2 linked regions of the Rattus norvegicus genome follow. The protein of the gene in region 1 purifies or fractionates together with the protein of each later gene. This does not show direct contact. Links are inferred from orthologs where the notes say so. Each region holds a gene or a part of one and is shown on either strand. Other genes may lie near its edges. The genes, in order: Polr3d and Polr1d.

Region 1 (7,822 bases):
GTGGTTGTGAGCCACCATGTGGTTGCTGGGATTTGAACTCAGGACCTGTGGAAGAGCAGTCAGTGCTCTTAACCACTGAGCCATCTCTCCAGCCCCTGCTTTGTCCTTTTAAGCACCACTGGATGAGGTGTAATGGGAATCTGGCCACTCTTGACCAATAATACCTTTATGGAAGTTAGTCTACCAGCCACTCTCTGCAGGACAGGGTGCAAAGAGTAAGCGGTCTGCCTACCACTTCACCTAAAGACCCCTGCTGGGTGCCATAAGGCACCTCTAACTTCTTCCAGCAAGAACTCCAGCAGGAAGCAGATGGCTAAGACAACAAGGGATAGAAGCTACAGAAGAGCTAACATGAACATTCATTCATTCCATGAGCCCGGGGTGGGATGGGCTGCAGAGTAAGCATGAGTGAGAGCTGGGTTATGGCTCAGTGGTACAGCACTTGCCTGGCATACACCAGGTCTTAGCCTCAGCACTGAGAGTTAAATGTTTAAAATGCAATGGAGTCACAAAAGTAGGGATGTGAGCAGAACCACTTACTTCTTCAGAGTATAATGTTCATTTGCTTAGAAATAGACTGAGGCAAAGGAAAGGAAAACTAACATTTATTGAGCGCCTATGGGTATGTGTATATATGTGTATACATACATACACACCCTTATACAATGTATGCCTGGTCTTGTGCAAGGAGTTCTCATCTACAACATTCCGTTTGATCCTCACCCCAACCCTGTGAGGTAGGTATTATCCTCACATGTCAGGTGAGGACTACGAGGCTCAGAAAGGTTAGGTAGTTTGTTCAGGGACACTGAACTAGAGACCAGTGAGCTGAGACTGAGTTTTAAGTCTCCGGCAGTTCTATCCTATCCCGGTTCTTTCCTACCCCCTTGAGCCCTGTAGCCCATGGCTCCCCAAAAAGAAGCCTGCCCCATCCTGCTCTGCGAGGATGCAGTCAGTTGAGGATTAAGACATAAATAAAATAAATAGCAGGGTCAGGTTCCCAGAAGTGAGGACGTTTCCATACTCATGCTGTGTCAATTCCCACTCATAGCTGCTGGGGGGGCGGGGGGCAGCATGGGCCCTAGTGTGGGGGTTGGGGGGACTGGGACTATAGCCACCAAAAGCTGCAACAAGTGGGTTAAAGAGGCCCCAACTGGGCTGCATGTCTTTGAGAACAAAGGTCTGGAGTAGGCAGCGGTCATGGGCAGTCACCATCCTCCTCCATCTGTCCATTTCACCGGTGTTTGTGATCCAAGAGAGATTCAAAATCAGGAGAACATACAAGTTTGTGCTTCACATGTCCTAGGACTGTCATCTCCCCTGTCCTGCTGTCCCCAAGGCCCACAGACACCAGTTCCTGCCATTCAACAGAGACATCAGTGAGAACCACACACTCACACCCAACCCAGCCCTCAGTCCAGTGACCCAAAAGTTCCTTACTGCCTAAGCACAGGCTGTTTAATACTTCCCCAAGCCTCTCTCTGGCCCACAGGGGTTGTACCTGCAGGAAAGAACAGGTTGTTCCCATGGTCACATCCAGAGTCACCTTGCCCAGGAGAAGCTGCACCTTCCCTGATTTGCGGATGAGTAGCTTGCCCACTTGACCCTCTGTCAGGTCAGCCAAGGTACAAGCATTCTCTGCTAGCCTGGTTTCCTGTGGAGAGAAGCAGCAGGTAGTTACTAGGCAACAGCTTTCATGAATGAATCCTATTCTGTTTCCCAGAGAGAAACACAGCAGCAGTGATCTATGCAACAAGGGCTATGTCCTGGAGCTATCAGCCTAGAATTTCCCCAGAACTCGCTCTTGAGCATACCCGGTCCTTTTCTTGCTTTATGACTACCATCTGTCCATCCTCGCCCTGCACCTCTGTCTTGACAGGCTTGATGTCCTGAGTAGGCGGCTGCCCAGGGAGGGTATCAGGCAGCTGAAGGAACAGCAGCTCCTCCTCCTTCGTGAGGCTCAACTCCCTCAGCAGCTCTGCCACAGACACGTCCTTTGGAAGACCAGGGGTCTTCCTGGCTGCTCTTGGAGGGGCTTTCACTTTCGCCTCCTCTTCCTCATCCCGTGGCTCCTCTTTCACTGCCCAAAGTGAGAAGAAGGAAAAGACATCAAGTAACCCTACCGGCTAAGCCAGGTCTCTGTTCCCAACCCTTCATGTCCATGTGCTTCACTGTTATTCAGCCAGAAGTTACACAGAGGAACAAGAAAGAAACTCAAGAGTGCGTGACTCCTCTAAAATGAGACAGCTGAGGCCAGGCGTACTGGCACAAAGACATGTGGACTGAGGCGGGAGCTTATGTCTTGATTCCACGCCTGTACTTCTGAGTGGGAAGGAAACGGAGACACTGCTGAGCTGCAGTCTTGGAGGTCATGTGAGGGCTTCTGGGGACAGCTAGGGAGGAGGGGAAGTCGGTGGCACGGGTTACCTTTTACAGCTGGCACATCCACCTCCATGTCTTCTTCCTTGGGGCCAGCAGAAAAAGGCTTAACGTCTGGCTCTTCACTCTCCTCCTTGAAAAGCCACCCTGAATGAGCCAGTGGCAGTTGTACTGGCATGTTCCGTGTGTCATTCTTTAGCCCTGGGTCATCGATGAACTGCCAAAGAGTGGGGGGGTCACATTAAATGTCAGCATGTGTGCCTATGTCACAGCCCATTTCAGGACCTGTCACTCCCTCTCCTTTGTGTGTATATGTCTCACACATGGAGGCAAGCAGTCTTTCCACGGAGCTGCATCCCCAGCCCCACCTTAGTGCTCCTGTGACCAAAAGCCCAAAGATGTCCCTGGCCTGGCTTCCTAAAAGCCCTTGTTAGCAGATACAAAGAAACCGGTCCCCCAGGCTGCTGGAACCTACATCATCCTTCTCCAGCATGCGCAAGATCTGCTTGGTTTCTTCATCTGTTTCTCTCTTCTCTTTTTTGATGTTGATGATATGAGAAGGCCCCATGTCTGACATATCCACAGTCTTATCCCAGTTCCCTGCAGGAAATCATGCCGTTCACTAGGGTTAAATCAGGGGGACAGCAACAGCAAGGGAAACCAAGCTAGGAAAGGAGAATCCCATGTTCTGCTTTCTCAGGTGGTCTGACCCGCAATCCAGATCCCTTCCTGGTACCTTTTTTTTTCATCATTTCTGCTGGACCCTGCTCAAAGATGGAATGGGACTGGATCACTTCTGGGCGGCCACGTCCCCGTCCATGACCCTCACGCTGGCGGTCTCTGTCCCGTTCACGCTTTTCCTTCTTCATAGTTACTTCTTCCTTTGGCCTGGGGATGAGGACAGATATAAGGGTCTGCCTCAGGAAACAAACCCTCCTCACCCACCTCATTTCAACCAACTGAGCAGCGTTTGCAAGCCAGAAAAGAGACCATGAGAATCACAAGCCAACCCTTTGTTACACCTGCTGTTACACCTGCTGTTACACCTGTTGTTACACCTGTTGTTACACCTGTTACATCTGATAAAGCACGGCCTTTAATTTCCTCTCACTTTACCTCCTTGTCCAAAATGTGGGCTTTCTGTCCTGTTTTTGCCTGGAAGTAGAAAGACTGGAAAGCAGAGGAACTTAAGAGGAGTATGAAGAGCTTTGCTCCACCTCAGCAGAATTAGGAGGAAGCTGAGGTGGAACCTACTGGGTGGTTGTCCAGCTCCTGAAGGAGGACAGAAACTCAGCCCTTTCCTCTCCTTGACTTCTTTCTCCCCTTGGGTATTCTCTGACACCAGCTCACTGCCATACCATAGACCCAAAAGCATAGAACCACCTCATCACAGACTTAAACCTCCAAAGCTTGGACGTCCAAAATGAAATGCCCCTCTCTGTAAGTTGATATCTCAGCTATTCATTGCAGTCAGACAAACAGATGGATGGATTGACAGACAGGCAGGCCCTCTAATGCAAAGTGCCTCAGAGCCAGGCATGGTATACACCCTAATCCCAGGGCTCAGGACATAGATCTGAGAGGCAAGCAGATCCCTGGGAGTTCTAGGCCAGCAATCTACACAGTGAGTTCCAGGATATGAAAGGCCATGTAGAGAAGCACTGTCTCAAAAGCAAACATATCTCTACATAACCTGGGATTAAAGCATGAGATCCACTGGTGAATAAGCCAATGGCAAAAAGTTAAAATTCCCAGGCTGCACACCTAATTACTTCCTCAAACTCAGAGCAAAAGAGGGTGAGTGGTGTTCATTAATCCTATGTACTTACTCTTCTTTGATCTTCCGACTGATGATATTTGGGGTGAAGGTTTTCTGAAAAGTAAAATACAGTACTGTATTTTCGCAGTGCTCAACAGACCAACAATTCTGGGAAGGCTTGGAGAGACAGATCTGCCAGCACTGACAAATGGATGACACAGGGAGACTACCGTAGCTTTATCCTGTTTGTTCTGCTTTCTTTTCAGAGTACTCTTATATCTACTGTTATGCACATAATGGGAGAGGACAAAGAGCAGTTAGTTACCTGCATGCCTAAGATTCATTCATCACCACTAGATTATTTGCTTCCTTACTGACATCCACAGAGTTATGAACACTCTACCAAGTAAAGCAATTTTGTCTGACTTTCATGGGAGTTTGTAAGGTGCCCATAACATAATAAGCACTTCCGAATGTCTTGAATTAACTAGGTTCTCTGCCTTTTAATTGCCTATGAAACCATGTCAATGTCTTGTACCAGCACCTAGGCTTGAAGGTCTCTCGCTAGAGGCTGACATCCCATCAGGGACAAATGGCCGTATATGAATGAACATCACGAATTGCCTCCCTTCGGCCTGGAACTCAAAGCATTTGGGTTTCTGTACAAATACACTCGCCGGTACCTTCTTGACACCGCCAAGGGTGAGGTCCCGAGAGCGGATGGAGGGAAGGCGGCCTGGCGTAAGCGGGGGAGCGGGCCGCCGGCCCACAAGTCCCCGGCCCCCAGAGAGAAGGGGTCGGGGCCCTCCAGGATTGCTGGGCTCGCCCGCGGCGTTTCCTTCCGACATGGTTCCTAGAGGAAAGTAGGCAACAAAGTGACTCCAAGGGCTGGATGCGAAGACCCTGGGCGGAACCCCACCCACGTAATCCCCCTCTGTACCCCCCCCCCGTCCGTGCGTCGTTCCCGCTGCACCACAGCTCCTCCCAGTCCCACGTGGCGAGGTTTCCCGGAGCGCCCCACCTCTAGCTTTGGACTCGTCACATGCCCTCTCCCCGGGACTGCATGACGTACCTGCGTTGAGGCTCTACGCCGAGTTTCACGACCTCACCTCTAACGAGACCAACCACCGGCCGCCGGTCTCACGGCAAGGCGGAAGTCTGCGTGGCAAGAACCGGGGGCTGCCATCTTACCCTAGGGCGGAAGTGACATCAAGGGGGCGTGATCGGACCATAGTATTTATCAGACGGTGCCTCGCTGTCCTCCGCCTTCTCTTCCCGGTTCTTCCCGGAGTCGGGAAAAGCTGGGTTGAGAGGGCGAAAAAGGATATGGGAGTGGATTCTGAACTGTGCGGGGGTGTGACTCGTGGGGGTGTGTCTCTGCTCCTGGATGACAGTGCTAGTGCGGTCCACAGGGTCGGGGGGGCCTCCTAGGTCGCCTACCTGCTGTACGGGGTGTACTGCGCAGCCTCTGTGAACAGTGAGGTCGGCTCTCGGGATGCATCTCCGGACATAGGGAGCCTTGCCCTCAGGCCGAGGCTGGCTGCAGCTTCCCTGCATTGACCTTGGAGTGGTCACTGTACCTTCGGGCTTGTCCCTTTGCTCGTGAGCGCCTTCCTTTGCGGATCCCTGAGGTCCTAACGCAGTTTGGACAGAGCAGCCAATAGCTCTTTGCCTATCTGGGTTCATGATTGCTTAGTCAAATCTGGAAAGAGCCTGGAACTGAAGTTTGCTCTTAAAGTGGGAGTTTTTGTTTTTTGTTTTTTTTTGGTTGGGAGTGTGTGTGTGTAGTGTGTGTTTTTAAGACAACACTACTCTTGTAACCCTATCAAGTCTGGAACTTAAGTAGACCAGGCTGGCCTCGAACTTGGCAGCAGTCCTGTCTCTTCACAGACACCCCTCAGGGCACAGATTACAGATGTGCACCACCAATCCCAGCTTAAAAAAATTTTATTGTAATGGATGTATACATTTAATATATACAAATATATATAACTTAATCTGTGGGGAAAAAGTCATTTAATGTTACACCACAGAGATCCCCAATACGAATTAAAAACATTATGTAGTTCTAGGGAAGGAACCTATTTCTGCTAGAATTCCATAGACTGCTAGCATTAAAATATTAGTGATGTACTGTAACATTGTGCCACACAATACTGTATCCTTTGTTGGAAACAAATGACCAATAGGAGTATATATGTATATATATGTGTGTGTGTGTGTGTATATATATATATATATGTATATATATATATATATTTATCTTCCTTAATGCATTCATTTGAACAGGTATATCGTTAGAAATAACTAGTGTACATTTGATAGATCCAACTTTTTTGTTTTCTTTTAGATTACATCCCTAGGAGTTTCAGAAGAAGTACATATTAAAAGTAAACTTCATTTTGATGCCATACACATGCAGTTACTTAAAGGAAAAGTAAAATGATGTGGAGAGTCAGGCATGTTGGTGCATGCCTATAAACCCAGCACTTGGGAGGCAAAAGCAGGCCGGTCCAAGTTTACCAGCTTGGACTACAAATCGAGACGGTGGTAGAGGTGATGATGGTGGTGATGGTGATGGTAGTGGTGGTGATGGTGATGATGGTAGTGGTGATGGTGGTGGTAGTGATGGTGATGGTGGTGATGATGGTGATGGTGGTGGTAGTGGTGGTGATGGTGGTGATGATGGTGATGGTGGTGGTAGTGGTGGTGATGATGGTGGTGATGATGATGGTGATGGTTGTGATGGTGGTGGTGGTGGTGGTGATGTTGATGGTGGTGGTGATGGTGGTGGAGGTGGTGGTGATGATGGTGGTGGTGGTGATGATCAGCAGAGCCTAAATTCTGTTTACTTTGCCTTCCCCAATTGTAAGATCTAGCCCTTTTATCAAAACCAGAGTATTAACATTTTTTGCAGTCATGGTACAAGACATTTCAACACTACAGAAATCCCTGGAGCTGCCCTTTCAGATACAGTCTTCCTTACTGCTGAGCCTTCTCTTCCTTTCCTCACTCCTCCCCCCACTAATCTAGTCTCCATTTCTAACATTTTGTTATTTCAGAAGATAGAGTCTTATTATGTATCTCTGGCTGACCCGAAACTCACTGTAGAGACAAGACTTGACTTCAGACGTTCAGTAAAGTATCTGCCTCTCTGCCTCAGCGGTTCTAGAATTAAAGGAATGTGCCATCGTGCCCAGCTTTTGTGGCTGCACTTTTATCCCCATAATTTTGTGGCTATTATCCAAGTGATATATATCATTAGTTTGTTCCTTTTCCTACTTTGTATCTGTGGTCTCTTTAATCATCCTTTGAAAGACATCTGGCCGGGTTGGAGACTTAGCTCAGCGGTAGAGCGCTTGCCTAGGAAGCGCAAGGCCCTGGGTTCGGTCCCCAGCTCCGAAGGGGGGAAAAAAAAAAGACATCTGGCTTGTTTAGTTTGTGTCTATTGTGAATAAAATTGCTGTGAATAACCATGCAGCTTTTTGTGTCAATACAAATTTTCTCTGGAATGAGTGCACCTGTTGATTTGTATGATTGAATGATTAATCTTGGAAACATGAACAACAAACTGGCTTCCATGGTGGCTAGACTATTTTCGATGAGTATTCTGTGGGTCATCATCAATGCTACTAATTGTTTTCAAAGAGTCCTTATGCAAGAGGACTGGAGGTGCCTCCATGA
Region 2 (7,758 bases), on another chromosome or scaffold:
GTTTTTTTTCCGGTTCTTTTTTTCGGAGCTGGGGACCGAACCCAGGGCCTTGCGCTTCCTAGGCAAGCGCTCTACCACTGAGCTAAATCCCAACCCCAATGGATAAGTTTTTATGTAGACTTTTTATTCTCTACAGAGATACCACACGAACCTGTATTATGCTAATTAATCAGGGCACTTAGATGCTACTGCTATATGTAATTTAGAACTAGTCTGTAAAGTGCTTTGAAAGTGGCAAGTGCTAGGCCAGATATGCAGAATTATTAGATATTAAAAGCCTTTGGTGTATGGGCATCTCGTTTAATGATTGGTTCTTTAGAGGACACAGGATTTTACAGCCAAACAGAACTTCTGATCTTGAATCCTTAACACTGCAGTGGTTTGAGTGCAACGTCATTAGCTCACCAGTGAGGTAGTGGGGGTATTTTTCAGTTTATATAAGCAAGTATGATTCAAGTACAAGTCTGTCACCCCCATTCTTCTGCCCTTTCTTTCATAGCCTTGGGCCAGAACTCACTATATACATTAGGCTGTCCTCAGATTCAGAGTTCTACCTGCCTCTGTCTGCAGGTATTAAGAGGGCACACCAACACCCCGAGCTCTCTCAGCCCTCTAGTTCCCACAGACTGCACACCGTTCCTTCCACACATGTGGCACTCCTGATGAGCCTATTTTCTCCCTGAGCCCATCTGCCATCTATATGAACTTTTATCTGAGCCTGTTTATGGCCACCCTAGATGGATTTACACTGCATGCCACAGGATGAGTGACAACCCTTTATTGCGATCCAACTGTGAGATCCGGTGGTGGTCACCAGTTGATACACTGTTTCCTCTAACTGGACTTTCTTACACCTTCCATTGGTTTTCTTCACTCTTCTCCGCCCTAACTGAACTGTCATCATCCTTGCTGCCAACTAAGCATACCACTCTAAGGGCCGTGTCTATTTTATCTTTGGAAAACTCAAACCAAGTCATTCCTCAGCAGAGTCCTCTCCTTAGACCCCAGATGAATTCGACCCACAGCCTAGTGGCCTCTGGGCTAATTTCAAAGGACCTTTTCTTCCCCAGTCATAGGGCTGACTTACTCAGCATCTTCCACAGCAGAATTTACTGTCTCATCAGGTATATACTCTACCTAACACTGAGGTTGCCTGAGGCTTGCTTCCCGGCCCCTTCCTTATCACTTTCCAGCCTCTGTTGACTTACATCTTTATGATCAGGACTCACATGGTTACCTTCAGCTTGTATCTCTCCCAGGGCCCGCAACCCTCACAACACAAGTTACTTCTAAGCTCCTTGTCCTAGTAATTGGCCTCGAACCTAGACAGGAGATGGAAACATCTGGTTCTCTATCTGACATCCTGTTCCTAGGACTTCACCCTTCTCCCTATTGTCCGTGTTATCAGCATTTTGGGCCACTTCTGGTCTGGTTTTGCTACAATTTGCCCCATCATCCCACTCTGTAATGGAAATAACACAGCACTCCAGCTCTTTTCCTCACTGAATCAAGAAGATGGGCCCTTCTCCTTATCTGCTATGCTAAACCATAGAAATCTTTAAGTTCTCCAACCTTTAGTTTCTGCTTCAGGAGCTCACATTTCCCCCCAAGTGTGCATTTGCTCTCCACTCCGCATAGCCTCTTCTTTTCCTACGATCTCTGGAACTCCTTCCCTGGTTTCTGTGTTCAAAGCAGACACTTCTCAAGTTCTCTATCTGGCCTTGTATTTGTTTAAAACTTTGTTTTTTTAACTCCATTTAAAAAAATTCCTACTGCCAAGCCAGGCAGCGGTAGTTCATGCCTTTAATCCCACCATGTGGGAGGCAGCCTGGTCTGAAGTGAGTTCCTGGACAGTCAGGACTACAGAGAAACCCTTCTTCCAAAAACAAAAACAAGTTTCCACTGTTATCTGTTTTCAAGGCCTGGTACAATGCAGGCATTCAGTGAGTACAAAAGTATCTTTTTAAAAAGTGGGTCAAGTCTAGGAAATATAGGCACTTGGCAGGGTACAAGAGGTCAAATATAACCTAAAGGTTCCTTTTTTTTTTTTTTTTTGACTTTTTGAGACAGAGTTTCTCTATGTAGCCTTGGACTTCCTATCTCACTTTGAAGACTAGGCTGGCCTCAAACTTAAGAGAGCTGCCTGCCTCTGCCTCTGCCTCTGCCTCCAGAGTGCTGGGATTAAAAGCATGTATGTATGTTGGTGCTGTTTTTCTGAGGCAAACTCTTGTTATTCAAGTCAGTTGGATCTTTAACTTGTAATTCTCCTGCTTGCATCTTTTTAATGCTGAGATTACAGGCATGCACCATCATCCCTGGCAGAAAGTGGAGTTCTGACTGAAGACAAGCATCACCAAAGATCCCAAAGCTCAAGAGCAAGAGGTGACTCGGCTCAGGAGTGACAGATACTTAGAGTGAATTAAGTCACGCCTGGGTAGAATACTTACAAGACACAAACGATTAAAGAGATAAACCAGATGACTCTTGGGATGTGAAAAGTTTTGTTAATATTGTTAGTTTCCCAAAATGTCATTTCTTCTGCAAAATGTCATTTCTTCTGTACAGAATTCTCTTCCTCCAAATCCTGACTTTCTAACAAATGTTATCTCTTCTATGTAACCCTGGGCTCCTACCTAAAGACTAAAAATGTTACCTGGTAATTCCAGTCTTTCCAATAATTAAAGTTGGAGCTGGAGAGACAACTCGGTTGCTGAAGCACTTGCCACAAACTTTAAGGATCTGATTTTAATTTCCAGAGCTTACGTAAAAGAAATTGGGCAGGGTGGCTAAGCTTCCAACACCAATGCTCGGGAGACAGATAACAAATAGGTTCCTGGGGTAGCCTAGCCTAACTGACAAACCCCTTTAACCCCAATATGTGAGAAACTAGGGCAAGGGCAAGTTTACCAAGTGCATTCCAAGTCAGCCGGGGCTAGCTGGTGAACGTGCCCTAAAACCAACCAAACTAAAGGTTAACTTCTGGCTTCCATGTGCATGCATACATATCCACACAAACAGGCCTGCACGAAACCTAGTAAAAACTGGTTTACTCATGTCGTGACTACATATTTCATTAGTGTTCTGGAATTCAAGCAATAAATTGACATCCTACAAAAGCTACGAAGATGGAGCTTGATACCAATTCAAATTCTCTTGCGAAATTAAAACTCCGAGGAGTACTTCACATTATCTTCATCCTTAAGGTAGTCTACTAATCATATCAAAGAAGCATTTGCATTAATAAAAAAAAAAAAAACAGCCCGGAGATGCCTTAGTGGGTACAGGTGCTTGCTGTGAAGCCCAACAATCATCAAATGGCTCCAATATGGCGTTAGGAGAGAACAGACTGCCATGCATGTACCACGGCATGTTTGTGTGCACATACAAGGAAAATGTAAAAACAAACACCACCTCAAGTCCCTCTTCCAATCTTCTTTCCAGCCTTTTAAATCATAGTGTCCTGGACCTCATTCTACTTTACCTCTCCTTCCCACAGCATCTCGATCATATAGAAATAGTCTTTTTAAGATCTGTGATCACAACCTCTGACTCGGCCCAATTACATCTGTTCACTTATAGTGTTGGTTCAATTAAGGGGTGACACCATCCTTGGGGGTTCATCTAGGTTCAAGGAAGAGAAACCACTCAAACTAGTTTAAACAAAAGCGAGAATTTATTAGGCAAACAGACTTGCAGAGATTCCAAAAGCTGTAATGGGTCAATAGCTAGAGCCACATTTTCCTATAGGACAGAACATGCTGTAGTCACCAATTCTAGTTCTGGGCTCTGTACCATCCTGAGGGTGGTCCTGCTTGTACCCTGCACGAGGGACTAGAGCGTGGGTTCGTTTTTGCTTGCCTTTTTATCTTTATAGTCCTTTACGCTGGCCTCAAACTTGACAAGCACATGCTGGCAGACATTCAAGAGCTCATTCAGGCCTTTCTGAAACGGCTCAACAGCTGGAAGTGCACCCCGTGTCTGAATTCGCAAATTAATTTTGCTCTCTGAAGGATGGGTCGTAGTGTAACCACAAAATTCCACTTCCGGGTTCTTCATGATTATGTACCGCAGACAATTTCCTAGTGTATGGTCCTCCTCGTGTAGTACAAATGTCACACACTGTCTATCTGTTCCAGCTGCCTGGACCATTTCCAGGGCTGTCTTCCTCTCGCCTTCAGCCATTGAGGTCTTCAATCCTGATATTTTTCTACACACATATTTTTTTGTGTAAGAATGAGATCATACGGAATATCGTTTTCTGATTAACTCTTAAAGATTCACTGCCTCATTTTCCTGCCTCCACACTTCTAGCCATAAATATTTAACTCGTTTCTCCCTACTTCATTTGACTCCAGCAAGGGGGTGGGTACCACCTCAGAAAAAAAACAAAACAAAAGAAAAACAACCCACGAAGTTAATTGTTTGCAAAAATCTTCGGATAGAGCAAAGAAAGGGGCAGAGTTATAATAGGGTAGGCCCTGCTTTAGATGAAAAGGGAGTTGACAGGCATAAAAAACACGATTACTTTAGCATAAAAATGGCAACCACAAGGTATCAGGGTGGCAGGCTCAGTTACAGCTTCCGTTTGAAAGAGGTAAGGAAACTAAGTGAAAGGAAGTGAAAAGTTTAATAGGAGGGAGAATTTGGCGGACAGAGAGAATTTACGAGCAGTCTGCACAGAGCGGAGTTGCAGTAACTTTAGCTAACTTAACACGCCAGGACCGCCACTCGGGACGGCTGGCCCGGTGCGTGACCTTACACGAGGCAGTTCTAATGAGGGTGGTGGCAGTTTGGGACTTACAGCTGGATTCCCTACCTCTCTCCCATCCCGGATGGCTAGCGTCCCTCTGGGCTTTTCTGTTATAAATGAACCCACGGCTCCTCCCTCTTCCCAACCCGGCCCGCTCTATTCTCTCTCCTCCCTTCCCCAGCGCCTGGGGTCAGGCCTAGCCGCCACGCCGGGCTCAGTCGGCCGCGTGCCCCTTCGCTACCCGCTTCTCTGGCCCGACCCGCCGCCCCACTCCACTCTTTGCCTCCAACCTTACCTCTCCAGCTCCTGATCGTCCTCCATCGCGGGGGGCGGCTCCGGGAAATCCTCAGGTGGCGCTGGCGAAAAGGAAGATCTTCCCCATGTCGCGAAAGGTGCGGGACAAGGCAGGAAGGAAGAAACCACCGACGGAAGGAGCGGATGACGGAAGGAGGGAGGCGGAGCCGCAGCGGCGCGGCAGGGCCCCCTCTGAAGGGCGGGGCTAAAACAGAACCCGCCCCCGACCACGCCCAGGCTCGGGCTGGACCGCTCACCTGGAACTGCGGAAGCCAGGCGGCTGCGGTGCACATTCTGTCCCCGAGTGCTACCGTAGATCACAGGCTTCTCGCCTGTTGCCCCGAGACATCTGCTATTTAGCGTCGGGGTCGGATCTCTGACTTGCTAGAGTCTCGAGGAACGGGACTGCCCCATGGCTGGCTATTCCCGGGACCGGAGTCCTCAGGGGCCTTTCCTGGGGCACCCAGCATATTGCAACCTTGAAAAAGCAGAGAGACTAGTGTGCAGAGGTGACTTTCCTGACGATACTGTGGGCTTTTTATTTTCTCCCAGGGGTGCAAATGTACATCTCCAATAGGTGCAAGGGCAGCGTTTGTCTTTCTTTTGGGAGAGAAGTGAGAGTTTGGAGCACCGCCCTCCTTCCTCCGGAGCTCACGCGGTGGACTTGCAGCTCCTTTTCCCTTTGAACCCAAGGAACCGCCCTTCTCAGGTGCATCCTCTCTTCTCCCACCTGACCCTGGCCAGGCTGGATCCCCGCCCCACCCAGCTGTCCTCTTGCCCTGCACACCTACACGTCAGCCGCCCCGCGCCACCTGTTCTCCCTCAGCCTGGTCCCGCAGCCCTCCCCTCCCTTCAGCTGTCCCACGCCAGGCGCGGCGCTCCAGGGGTGCACGCAGACACTTCCCGAGCGTCTTCTCTGTGTGTCTGAGGGGAGAATCCGGCCGGGAGCGATGGCGGAGGGCGGAACGCGCTCACTCTAACTCGGGAGTGATGAGCAGGGCCGACCCGGCCCCTAGAATTCCTTGATTGGTCGAGCGGCTCCAAGCCCGCTCTTAGTCCCGCCTTCGCCCGCCGTTGATTGGCTCAGGTGCGTGTCGGGTTGGGCCTCTGCGCTCGCCCCCGAGGGGAAAGGCAGCAGGGGCGGTTGAGAAGTAAAGTCTTGGCCGGACTTTGCTTCTCGCCAGGAAATCGGCGGCGGTGAGTCCCGGCAGAGCGGAGCCGGGTAGCGTCCTCGTTAGCGCGCCCGCGGGGAGCCCGCCGCTTTCCGTCAGTGAGTTACTTCGCCTCAGGTGCGGGCGGTGACGGGGTGTGGCGTCAGGGTAGGGGGGACCATCTGGGGAACCGCTGGGGGCCGCGTGGTGTCTGGCCCGGCCCGGTGCGGGTGCAGGTTCCAGGAGACCCGGTGCGGTTCTGCGCGCCTCTCGCTTCTCAAGACATGGACGTTTGAGGACGAGTTGTTGCACTTCGCGTCTGCACGTTGTCGGGAGCTAGAGTGGCGCTAGCCAGCTGCCCTTTGGTTTTGTTCCCTGGAAGGGATGAGCAGAGAGACCCTCCTCCCCGCCCCAGCCTGTTGCGGGGGAAGTCTCACCTTTCTCTTCAGATTTGACATGTTTGGGAGCGTGGGGGTATAATTTCCAAAATATGAATCCCGATTTGGAAGCATTTGCGCACAAAACACCTCTTGGGGAAAAACATCGCTGGCTTTTGAAAGCTTTCTGCCACGTTTCACACAAGGGCTTTTTTTTTTTTTTTTTTAAATGGAGTGTTCTAGTATTTCCGTTTGCATTTAAGATTGTGTGTTTGCCAGGAGCCTAAGGACGCTTCCGCGTGGCTTTTTCGAATCAATTTTTCTTTTCTCTGTAGCCTTGGCCAGCCTGGAACTCAGAGGGATCCACCTCTTTCCTGAGTGCTGTTGGGTTAGAGAGGCGTGCGCCCCACACCCCGCCAATTTTTCTTTAAAAATAAAATCACAGAAACCAATGGCAAGGATAGTTGGAGGATTCTGTGAGCTCCAGTTTATCCAAACTGCCTTCACTTTAAGAATGTCACATTCTTTGTAGTCACAGTACTTAGAAATTGGCCTCCTTCCCAGGACACAATTTGCTTTTTCTCTAGCCTGTACAGTGACACAGCACAGACGAAGTTGGATCTCAGTAGGTCAATCCTGTTTGCTTTGATAGATTTGAACACCCTCCCTCCCCCACACCTTCGGAAAAAAGGACTTTGGCAGGTAAAGAAGGAACCTGGGGGAATCTAGTGTCCTATTTGGCCTGCAGATCATTGTTGAGCCAGAGCTAAGAAGGTTTTGCCATTTTAGCCTGTCCAAATTCCATGTGAGTTTTCCCAAAGGGGTCAAATGTAGGCCAACTCAGAACAGCTCTAGAGTCACATTGCTTTTAATTTAGTCCATCCACTAAGTCTGTGTTCTTTTCCTCTAATCTTCAAGTTTGAGCCTTTTCATTGTATAAACATTTAGCTACTCAGTGTCTACCGCTTTGGCAACTTTGAGGAAAGGGATCATTTCTTGCCCAAAGTTGCTCAGTGGCTGTATACTTCTTAGTCCACTACCGGAAAGTAATTTGAACAAAGTAATGTGGGAACTTAAAATCATTTCTGCCTAGAATGTGTCAGAGGAATTGGCACAGGCTCTCTCTGGGAGCATCCTAAATGCTTATGGCTGTAGAATGTGACATTATCTGCTGTGCGTATGGTTA

What was found.
Region 2: the proteins of Polr3d (region 1) and Polr1d purify together in Homo sapiens (affinity purification with mass spectrometry; 6 studies listed by BioGRID and IntAct, counting the BioPlex papers as one, with this or other methods). This does not show direct contact. The link is inferred for Rattus norvegicus from reciprocal best matches to the Homo sapiens genes POLR3D and POLR1D.

What each region holds. Positions count from the first base shown.
Region 1 is NC_086033.1:51,920,701-51,928,522, forward strand, and holds Polr3d (DNA-directed RNA polymerase III subunit RPC4), read right to left. Parts: upstream 5,253-7,822; 5' UTR 5,211-5,252; exon of another isoform or gene 5,160-5,210; intron 4,992-5,159; 5' UTR 4,987-4,991; coding exon 4,822-4,986; intron 4,253-4,821; coding exon 4,209-4,252; intron 3,268-4,208; coding exon 3,116-3,267; intron 2,980-3,115; coding exon 2,855-2,979; intron 2,597-2,854; coding exon 2,428-2,596; intron 2,081-2,427; coding exon 1,815-2,080; intron 1,655-1,814; coding exon 1,502-1,654; intron 1,358-1,501; coding exon 1,235-1,357; 3' UTR 583-1,234; downstream 1-582. UniProt on the Homo sapiens protein: DNA-dependent RNA polymerase catalyzes the transcription of DNA into RNA using the four ribonucleoside triphosphates as substrates.
Region 2 is NC_086030.1:13,112,964-13,120,721, forward strand, and holds the start of Polr1d (DNA-directed RNA polymerases I and III subunit RPAC2), read right to left. Parts: upstream 5,107-7,758; 5' UTR 5,072-5,106; coding exon 5,046-5,071; intron 1-5,045.